3 linked regions of the Coturnix japonica genome follow. The protein of the gene in region 3 interacts with the protein of the main gene of each other region in a pairwise test. Links are inferred from orthologs where the notes say so. Each region holds a gene or a part of one and is shown on either strand. Other genes may lie near its edges. The genes, in order: YWHAQ, KLHL38 and TRIM42.

Region 1 (3,600 bases), on a different chromosome or scaffold from region 3:
GGTGTATGTTTGGTGGCCCTGCCAGGCAGGGGGGTTGGACTTGCTTGTTTCTTGAGGTCCCTTCCAACCCGGGTCATTCTGTGATTCTGTGATTTTATAGAAGGCCTCTGACTCACAGTTAGAAACGAATCCAGGAGGCAGCATGTGAGGAAGCACACAGTATTTTCAATACAATCCAAAGCACCCTTGTACATGAGCCAAAACACTTCTCAAGATGCAAAATCCATTACTTCCAAACCAGCCATCTTTAACCTCAGGTCTCCTAACCCGATTCAGGGTTAAATCAAAAACTGTTTATTTCCTTACTCACTTCCTTTCTCATGCTTGCAATACTAGACATCAAAAATACACAGCTTAACCACTGAAGATGACATGCCACACCATCAGCACTGCACTACACACACACAGCTTCCTGCAGTCAGTAGACCCTGATCACACACAACAGGCTTGCACACTTCCCATGTTGCTGACACAGGTCTGTGGAGCTCCTGCTGCACTGCAATGCTGCTTCACCATCAACAGCATCTGGAATTCTGCTCCTCACATGGAAATATATTGCTGGGCTTTGAAACATGCCCAGGTGCACAATACCTGTCATGGAATATCCTGTTTCCAAGCCACAGTTGTGCATTAGTCCAAAATAACTGCAAATTCACTTTTAACAGCCCCCACTAAATCAACTTGAGTGTGACAAAGCAGATTTCTACCTTTTTCTTTCCTACTTTCAAGGAAGATGTCTTCCTTTATGAAATCATACCTTATTACCTAGGAAAGAAAATCTAAAAAATGCCTCTTTAAGGCCTTTAAAGAGTGTTTTTCCTCACATGAAGCAGCACATTAAATGAACGCCATTAATTTAAATGCATTTAACAGGTTACTAGCACCAACCTTCAGAAATAAAGGGCTTTCATTTTCTTTTCAGCTTACCTTGTGAAGATTAGCTTACAAACCAAAGCACAAGCCTAAATTCCCTGCATCTCTGTGCTCAGCTAGCGTAGTACTGCACACAGGTAACTCCATCAGATGTGCATCTCAAACACAGCTTAGCACACCTCGATTACTTCTGCATATACAGCACCCGCAGCAAAGTGCAGATGATTTTCTGTCTCAAAGTAACCAATATGGCAGCTGCAAAAGTTACTGAACTACCCACTCCAGCATAATAGCTCACATAGTGCCCAGCCCATTTCCCACCCTCCTCAAAACAGCAGCATCCCGCTTCTCTCTTTTGATAAAACACGGAAAAAGGAAAGGCCCCACTCACCAGCACCGTGGTGCAGATGGACCTGAGCTCAGACTCCACCTTCTCCCTATAGTCCTTGATAAGCTGCATCTTCTTGTCGCTGGTGTCTGTCTTTTGCTCGATGCTGGAGATAACCCTCCAGGCAGAGCGTCGCCCCCCCACCACATTCTTGTAGGCCACCGAGAGCAGGTTGCGCTCCTCGTTGGACAGCTCAGCCCCCTGTTCCGTCACCGCCTTCATGCAGGTGGCCATGTCGTCATAGCGCTCAGCCTGCTCCGCCAGCTTGGCTTTCTGGATCAACTCGGTCTTATCCATGGTGGCCGGCGGCAGGACGAGGGCAGTGTTGTAGCAAAGGCAGGAGAAGCTGAGGACGTCACTCTGCCAGCAAGAGAACGAGCCTCAGAGCCTGCCAGGAGAAGGACAGCAACCGTGACTCCAGGAGCCAACGCTGTGGATGGTGTCCTTGCAGCCCCCTTACTGGGACTGTAGGGAGCTCCCCATTCCCAAGTACATCCCATGGCGCAGCACTGGCACCGTCCCTCCCTTGGGCAGAAGCAGGCACTGGTACCGGGCCCACCCTGGGGAAGCAACAGCCCAGAAACCCAGCCGGGGATGGGTCACAGTCCCTCGGCCAGAGGACCGAGCACCGGGCAGTCGTACCAACGTACCACAGCGGCTTTTGTCCTTACTGTGCCAACACACTTAAGAGCTGCTCAATGGAGCCGCACAGCAGGACACCCAGCTCCCAGGCAGCCCGAGGGCCTTCCCCACGTGCCTTCACCCCGCAGGGGAGGGCAAAGAAAAAGGAGGAAACAGAAAAAAAAGCTATTTAAAAAGAAAGAAAGGAGAACAGCGCGCTCGGAGCTGAGGCCGCAGCTCAGCGGGGCTGGAGACAACGCCGGGGCCGGGCGGGGCCGGGCGGGCAGCTCGGGCCGCTTCGCCTCCTGGCGGCGGGGCGAGGCGGGACCATCCCCCCGGCGGGAGCGGCCCCGGCCCCGGCACGGAGCCCCTCCATTCCCGGCCGCTGGGTGGGGTCGGGGCCCGGCGGCTCCGCGTTGGCCTCGTCCCCGGGGACCGCGAAGCGGGGGGCGGCGGAGCGGGACGAGCGTGGCCGGGCGCGGAGGACGAAGCCCCGGCGGGTACGAAATGGCGGCGCCGCCCGGCGGCTCGTTCCGCAACCCGGCACCGCCGAGCGCTCCACGCCGCGCTCACAAAATGGAGGACGCGGCGCCGAGGCGGGGCACGGCGGCACGGCCGGCGGGAAGCGGCCCACGCCGCGCTCACCTGAGTCCGCTGCGCTGCGCTGCGCTAGGCCGGGCCGGGCCGCACCCGATCGGCTGCGCCTCGCTCGGGATGTGGCGGAGAGAAAGAGCCGCTCCCGAAGCGGGCGAGAGCCAGCGCTAAAGGGCGTTGGCACGGCCGAGCCTACCCGCCGCTCGGCCCGCGCCCACGCGGCCAATCGCGGCCTCTCCTGCGAGCCAGGCCCCGCCCCTCCGCTCCCCGCCGGCCAATCCGAGGGCAGCGCGCCGCCGCGGGGGCGAGCGCGGGCAGGGCGCGAGCTCGGTTGGCCCGTGGGCTGCGGCTGGGGCCACGGGGTTTCCTCCAATTAGATCCAGGGTGAGATGACGTCACTGTCGCCATGGCGATACTGCTACAACCCCCCCCCCGCCCAACCCCCGCTCCACCACGGTGGGTCGGCACCGACACGGCGCGGGAACGGGCGGGGGCGGCCGGCGGGGGCTGCCCGTGCTGTGGGGGCTGCCCGTGCTGTGGGGGCTGCCCGTGCTGTGGGGGCTGCCCGTGCTGTGGGGGCTGCCCGTGCTTTAGCTCCCTGGCTGTGTCGCCATGGGGCCGTGCGGGGCGGGCTCGGTGCCCCCTCCGTAGGGCGGCTGTGGGAGGACACAGTGCGTGGTGCCGAGGCTGGGCTGCGGGCTGGGCTGCCCGGCGCCCTCCCGGCGCGTTGTCTCCTGTCAGGAATGCTGCCTTTGTGCCGCCGCTCGGTCGGGCGAGAGATTTCAGAGAGAGGGAAGATTTAGGTTGGATGTTAGGGGGAAGTTCTTCACTAGGAGAGTGGTTAGGTCCTGGAACAGGCTGCCCAGGGAGGTTGTGGATGCCCCGTCCTTGGAGGTGTTCAAGACCAGGTTGGACGGGGCCCTGGGCAACCTGATCTAGTAAAGGTGTATGTTTGGTGGCCCTGCCAGGCAGGGGGGTTGGAACTACATGATCCTTGAGGTCCCTTCCAACCCGGGTCATTCTGTGAGCTGTGCCCCAGGAGCCCGGTGACAGGAAATTGCTCGTGAAGAGTTAATGGCGCTGTGCCGTGGGGCCCTGAGCGGGGAGCGACCCGCGCTGACATC
Region 2 (3,831 bases), on a different chromosome or scaffold from region 3:
TAACTGTCAGTTTAAGCTTTGGCCTTTTGATGAGTGAGAGTCTAATTGCTCTAATGATCTCAAACTGACATCTTTGCTATCACTGCAAGGGAACAGATGCACAGCTGAGACCCCAGCTTAGCTGCAGGCTGGCCAAACAGCAAGCACTGATTTGGGTGAGCGGTTGCAGATGTGGAGGTGGCCATGGGGTCAGTTACTGCCTGCCATTGCAGCATCCATGGGAGCTCCCAAGACCTCTATATGAAATTCTCATGTGACAGAGCCAGCGCCAGAGGAAGGGCCTCAGGCCTTATGTCTGAAAAATATTTAGTGGAGAAAATGAAAGAACTACAATGCTCCTTGGAGACAAGACTTATTTGAAGCAATGTGTCAACTCATCCTGCCTGTTGCTGCAACTCATAATGAAGTTTAGTTTTGGAACTGACTTCTTCATCAAGGTGATGATGAACCACTGACTTGTTTAAGTAAAGCTGCCTATGTCAAGGAGGACTGACTGTTACCTGGATAAGCCGGACGGGGTTTTGCATAATGTCTTCTCCCCCAAAGAGGTACACCCTCTGGTCTTTGGCAGCAACAGCAGGGTGAAGGACAGCAACAGGCATGTTTGCCATGCTCTCGCAGGTGTTGTAGATGCTGTCATATCTTTCCACAGAATTCAGGATTTCTTGGTTTTCACCAATACCACCAAATGATAAAATATAATTTTTATATGCCAAGCTTCTGTGGGAATAACGTGGAACTAGCATAGGTTCAACCAACCTCCACTGATTGAGTTTGAGGGAGTAAATGTAAATATTATCGCTGACTGGACTTTTCTTATTGCTAACAGGCATCCCTCCAAGCACATAAATATTACTGTGTAAGCTGACTGCAGATGCTTTGTACAGGCGTACAGGAAGTTTGGCCAGGCTTAGCCATTGGTTGGTCTTGTCATCATACAGCAGGACATCCCTTGTGGTCTGCTGGTTGTCCTTCCTGCCACCAATGATGATGAGGAACTCTTGGTTGGAGTATCTGCGAGGAACGTGTACCATTGGCTTGATGTCAGGTGCATTGGTGCTGTACAAGGAAAACATCTGTCTCCGAGCTGACTCGAGAATGCTCCTGCAAGTGGGTGAAGACTGAACAAGAGAGTCATTGGCAATGAAATGGAAAAGGAAAGTTGGATGGACGTACTGAAGCCGGACCATCTTGAACAAGTCTTGGATGTAGCGCTGTCTTGCCTGGAGGTCATGCCGGATCCAGACCATCAGTGTCTCAAAGACCTGCTCCTCCTCCCCACAGAGCTCATCATCCCCCAGGTAATCGAGGAGCTCCAAAGGACAGAGATCCTTGAGGTCCTCAGAAGAGGCCACTTCAGGAAAGCATTTCAAAGCCATAGCCTTGGCTTTCTTATTCAGGCTTTGGCAGTTCAAGATTTTTGCCAGTCTGATCATGCTTAGACAGTTGTCAGGAGTCATCTTATCTTGGAGGTAGGCAGAGCAGGCCTCAAACAGCTTAGCGTACTGCAGCATGGATGCTGTCTCCAATAGGTACAAGACATTCTCAGCAGATATGAGAATCTCCCCTGTGTAAATGTAAAGGATAATCTGGTCCAAAATTTCAGCATCAATGCCCTTCAGGGTGACTTTAGCTTGGCGACTCTCTTTGAAGTTATTACAGAACATCGCCTTGAAGTACGGGCTGCTGGCAGCCAGCACGTTTCTGTGGCAGGGAACTTCAGAGCCCCCAGAGCAGAGGGTAACATCAGTCAGCATCCCGCTCTGCCGCAGCACATTCAGCTGCCTCAGCAGTTCAGAGGAGAAGTCCTGGTCTTTGAAGAGAAACTCCTCAGCAGATTGCTCCTCCATAGCAAAGAGAGAGATGAAGTCTGGACTTGGCAGAAAAAAACAATTTCTTAGCAGCTTTTAAAGAAGTATCCAGCTCCAAGGGAACAAATCAGGACTTTGATGTTGCTCTAAATATTCATTCGCTGTTATGCATAAAAATGGAACATGGGTTAAGCGCAGTGGGAAAGTAATAAAGAAGCTAAAAGGTCACAAAGACCCTTTAAAATTTTTATAAATTTATCAGATAGATTGCAGCTCTAGGGTCAGCATTGCCTGTGACTCTGGCAAGAAGCAAAAGCACTGAAGTTATCTCACTGATTTGGGATGAAAGCTGAACGGCCAAAGCAATGGGGAGGTTCATTTTAATCATGTCGAATAAATGCGCTTGGACATTTATTCACTATTTTAAAGTATTAGCCGTTTAGTAACTTGCATCTCTTTCCCCTAGAGTTAGTCATTCCCAAAGAATGTAAATCTGGCAGAGCTGAACTCTTCAGCAGGACTAACTAAACCCTAGAGACTGGGAATCTGCATTAAAACAGTTATTTATTAACTCTGCTTAGCTGTGGTTTTTTTATGTTAATCAGACACACAATGACTAAATTAAGTGCCAGGCAGAACAATCTGATGAGTATTTATTTCATGCCTAACCGCTTAATCTGCAGTGAAATCGTACGGTAGAAATGTTTACCTTCCGATGTCCTTCCCTGCATGCACTTACTCTCTGTCGCTTATTCTCTGCTGAGATTTTCCATAGCTAGAGCCTGGATAAAAACTATAAACCCACAGGACGTTTCTTTCAGTAGGTGAGTGATTCATAGAAGGTGATTTCTGGACGTGTTTATTCTGAAGTCACTTTTGCCGCTCTCAGGAGCTCTGTGCAGGAGCCGCGAGGCGGTGGGGCATTGTATACATTCCAGCGCTAAGAATAGGCACATATGGACTTCTCACAGTTATCACATGTGACACCGCCGTTGCCTTTTGCAATGACCTGGCTGGTACTGAGCATGCCCGGCTGGTGTTTTTCTGGCAAATGTTTACATATAATAAATAGACACGGAGAGGAAAGTTCACTTATAAAAGTCCTGGCTGTCCGTTTGGAAACAGCAACAGGACCCTGTCCTAAATTGCCTGGGAACTTGAGAAGCCTGTAAACAGTCTGCAGCGCCTCGCGCTAGGTGATGCACTGTCACGTATTTTTGTGGAGAAAGCAGAGCCTGCAGGGATCCCAGAGGGATGGACCATGTCTCCACCTGATGGAGAGGTTTTGGGTGCACCTGCCTTTGTGGTCTGCAGTGGTGGGTGTGTAGGTGATCCTGATGCACTGGAACTCTCATGACTATGGCACCTAGAGTGGATAGGCAAGTGCTTTGAGGGAGGTGAGTGGAAACTGGAGCAGTTTGCTGAAGTGAGGGTAGCAGGCTGGAAAAATCACTGCACCGAGAGCCCTAGGCTTCTCATTGCAGACCCCTCTAACTGCAGATGTCTGAACAGGGTGTCTGAGCTTCCCTAGCAGCTGGTGAACTCTGGTCATTACAACCATGGAGTTATCCTGGTCACCAGCAAGCATCACCTATTTTGGGGCAGATGGATGGTCCTCCAGGCAGCTCTGACTCAATCTTCCTGGGCTGTAGGTGTTCATTTGTCTTGGTCATGTGTAGGTGTCTTGTACACTCTTGTTAGGTATCTGAGATGCTGAGCCTAAATCCATCCCATGGGCTTGGATCAGTTGAGCACCATGTGTCCCAGGGGATCCTCTACAACCCCAGATGCCCACACAGAAGGGCTGGGGCTCTAAAAACAGCAGCTTTCATCACAGGCTGTGCCATACGTGTCCTTTCCCAGAGGGTTCATTAAGGAGCCTGCTGATGGCCCAGTGAGGCCAAAAGCCTGTTGAGCCCCAAAGGCTGTTGAGCCCAGAAGGCCCAGTGTCAGCATCAGGCTGGTGTAGGCCTTCCTGGAAGCTGCAGCATCTCTCCCAGTGTGATCAATCTGGTGGGGT
Region 3 (2,924 bases):
AGTCTTGAAGCTCAAAAAGTAAAATGCAAAATATTTGTGTAAGGTTCTGTAATGGTAATGTGATATTGTTCCAAAATGTTAGCTGCACTTCAGCAAAATTTACTGTCAGCCTCTGGTGTTTTTGATTCTGTTCTCTCACAGTTCTCAATTTTTAGTGTCAGAAGAATAAATCATATCTTCACATAATGGCTATCAGAGGAATGTACTGTCAGATACAGTCATAATGAGATCTATGCAGTCACATTGGTTACAATTGTTTTAGCTTGCTACTGACGTGATAAAATTCAAAAAATAATACAGAACTACTATAAATCAGATTTCAGGATTTCCCATGTAATTAATTAAAAATCATCAAGCCCATTATGGGGGACGAAAAATAAGTAAGTGAAAGAACAATAATCAAGGAGCAATTAGCTACCTGACTTTCATACATCGGAATATGAAAATTTTATCCCAGTCAACTTCCCTTGGAGCTCCCTAGCAGTAGAGATGAGCAAAAAGTAGTAAATTCTCACTTGTTCCACGTTCCATCAACCCTGAAATTTCTTTAAACTACAACCTATCATTCTGTCTCTTCTAACCACTATATTTTAATATGAAGTTGAAACTACTGACCACAGGTTTGTTGTTTATTTTGTTTTGTTTTTCAGCACGCCAAGGAGTTGACAATGATCTAATGGAAATTATCCTGTTAAAAAATAATTTCCAAACATCCAAGGATCTCCAAAGGAAGGAGATCAGAAATGGATTCTTAAAACTACATACAGTGCTACACGAACAAGAAAAAGAGATGATGGAATTGCTTGAAAACATTGAACTTAAAAAGCAGAAAGACATTTCAGAATATGTAAACTATACATTCAGCCAGCTCTCATATATGGATGGCCTTATCCAATATGCTGAAGAGGCTCTTAAGGAGGAAAGTCAAGTTGTATTTCTGCAATCTGCACACTGTTTGGTGAAAGAAATAGAAGATGCAATTCCTTCCATTTTCCAGCCTAGTCCACTTATCCGAGAAGACCCCCTAAAGAAACTGCAATTCAAATTTGATGAAGTGTTTGCCATTTTACAAGGATTTTCACCATCCCTTAGTGAAACAAAACAGTTTGAAAGCAAAGCAGAAAAGTATCCCTGTTATTTTAACCCAGAAATAATGGTTCCAAGGCATGTTTCAAGCACACGTGAGGCCAAGCAATCAACGCTTCAAAGATCATCCTTAAATTCCTTGTTTGAATTGGACATGGCAATTGAAAGCACTCTTGGGAGACAAAACTCCACCCCTCCCCATCATTCTACACAGAGTAATAAATTCTGTGAATCTTGGAATGCAGCTTGTGAAACTTCAAGAAAAGAAAGGAAACATCAAGTTTACTTTTCAAGATCAGCACCTATGGAAAAAGAATCATCTGCAGTGCCAGGACCTGTTACTATATATCAAACTGTTGTTTACCCAAGGTCTGCCAAAGTAAGACATTAATGAATTCTAAATCTATGCAAATACTATTATCATTATATTTTCAGGCTCTAAGGTTCAATTTTGAAAAAATAAGACTACAATACCAAATAATTAATTTGCATAGGAGAGAGTGCATTTCAGACTTGTCCTTAAAGATAAAATGAAGTATAAACTGAGTTGCATCACTTTCCTACCATATTAAGTACAGCTGTTATAGTATTTTATATGTCATAAATATCTTACATAAAACGGTCCATTGCAAAAAGAAACAGATGTATTGTTTGTATCTAAATATCTGTGTATCAGACTAAATCATTTAATCCCTGTTCTTGGCCTTCAAATGCGATTTCGTATGTCTATGTAATTTTCCTCCTGATATATCAGAGATACTAACGAGAACAGGATGGATGCATAAGATCAAAAGAACATGTTGCAAAGAACCAACTGCTACCAGCCCTCAGTACTTCCAGTGTGTCAGAAGACAGTACGATGAAATTCACAGGAGGGTGTTTATGTCTCAACATGTATTTTACAATTAGGTTGGAATTTCAGCTACTTCGGCATCTGAAAATTAACACCTGCTAATCGGGAGCCTTTCAAAAAAGGCATAAATGAAAACTAACAAAATCAAAGAGTACATAATGGTGCACTACAGGTTTTTTTTTTCTCTTCACAGATCTACTGGACTTGTCCTGCAGAAGATGTGGATTTCTTTGAGGTAGAATTTTATGAAGTTCTTGGTATCAATCCTGATTACACTGTCCAGACACAACTGGATGGCAAGCTAAGCAAAATACAGCAGCAGAACCTTGAGATATATAATTTGGATTCAAATACAGAATATCTTTTCAAAGTACGTGCTGTCAATAAAAATGGTCAAGGAGAATGGAGTGAGAACTGTAAGGTATTACATATTCTTCCAATATTTTATAGAGTTATGTTAACGTTCTTGCCCGTAGACTTGGTTGGAGTTTTTTTTTTTCATATATTTACAAAGAATACTGCTTGAATAGAAGATTACAATACACTTACCTAGGTAAGTGATGCTGATATTACACTAGATATTTCCATATGTTGTTCATCCTATCTGTAATTGTTTGTCCTATGAAGAAGAATGCTTCTTGTTGTTTTCTAGCAGAGATTCTGTGTTATGATTACATCAGACACATAGTCATAAATAATATTATTTCATGTCTGAAACAGCCTTTATGCTAATCTCTCTGAACACATAGAACAAAAGTATGAAGAATCGGATTCAAAAAAATTTCATTCTAGAAAGAGAAGGCAATAATTAAGGGAAAGAGGAACCAAACAGAAATTAAGAATATTCCTTGACACCTTTGGCCACATTGCTCCTTTACCATGGTTTTAGAATTGAAAGAAAAGTGTTGAAAATATAGAAGTTTAAAAGTGTAGGAAGGTTTTCAAAAAGGCATCAAAAGTTGAGACCCTACTTGTTTCATAGCTT

Evidence for each region.
Region 1: the proteins of TRIM42 (region 3) and YWHAQ interact in binary tests that used the Homo sapiens proteins (3 or more experiments, as listed by UniProt). The two-hybrid records come from large-scale screens. The link is inferred for Coturnix japonica from reciprocal best matches to the Homo sapiens genes TRIM42 and YWHAQ.
Region 2: the proteins of TRIM42 (region 3) and KLHL38 interact in binary tests that used the Homo sapiens proteins (3 or more experiments, as listed by UniProt). The two-hybrid records come from large-scale screens. The link is inferred for Coturnix japonica from reciprocal best matches to the Homo sapiens genes TRIM42 and KLHL38.

What each region holds. Positions count from the first base shown.
Region 1 is NC_029518.1:87,879,033-87,882,632, forward strand, and holds the start of YWHAQ (14-3-3 protein theta), read right to left. Parts: upstream 2,680-3,600; 5' UTR 2,528-2,679; intron 1,650-2,527; 5' UTR 1,559-1,649; coding exon 1,265-1,558; intron 1-1,264. UniProt on the Homo sapiens protein: Adapter protein implicated in the regulation of a large spectrum of both general and specialized signaling pathways. Binds to a large number of partners, usually by recognition of a phosphoserine or phosphothreonine motif.
Region 2 is NC_029517.1:124,496,507-124,500,337, forward strand, and holds the start of KLHL38 (kelch-like protein 38), read right to left. Parts: upstream 2,770-3,831; 5' UTR 2,543-2,769; coding exon 2,521-2,542; intron 1,973-2,520; exon of another isoform or gene 1,871-1,972; coding exon 501-1,870; intron 1-500.
Region 3 is NC_029524.1:5,104,819-5,107,742, forward strand, and holds part of TRIM42 (tripartite motif-containing protein 42), read left to right. Parts: intron 1-650; coding exon 651-1,465; intron 1,466-2,132; coding exon 2,133-2,360; intron 2,361-2,924.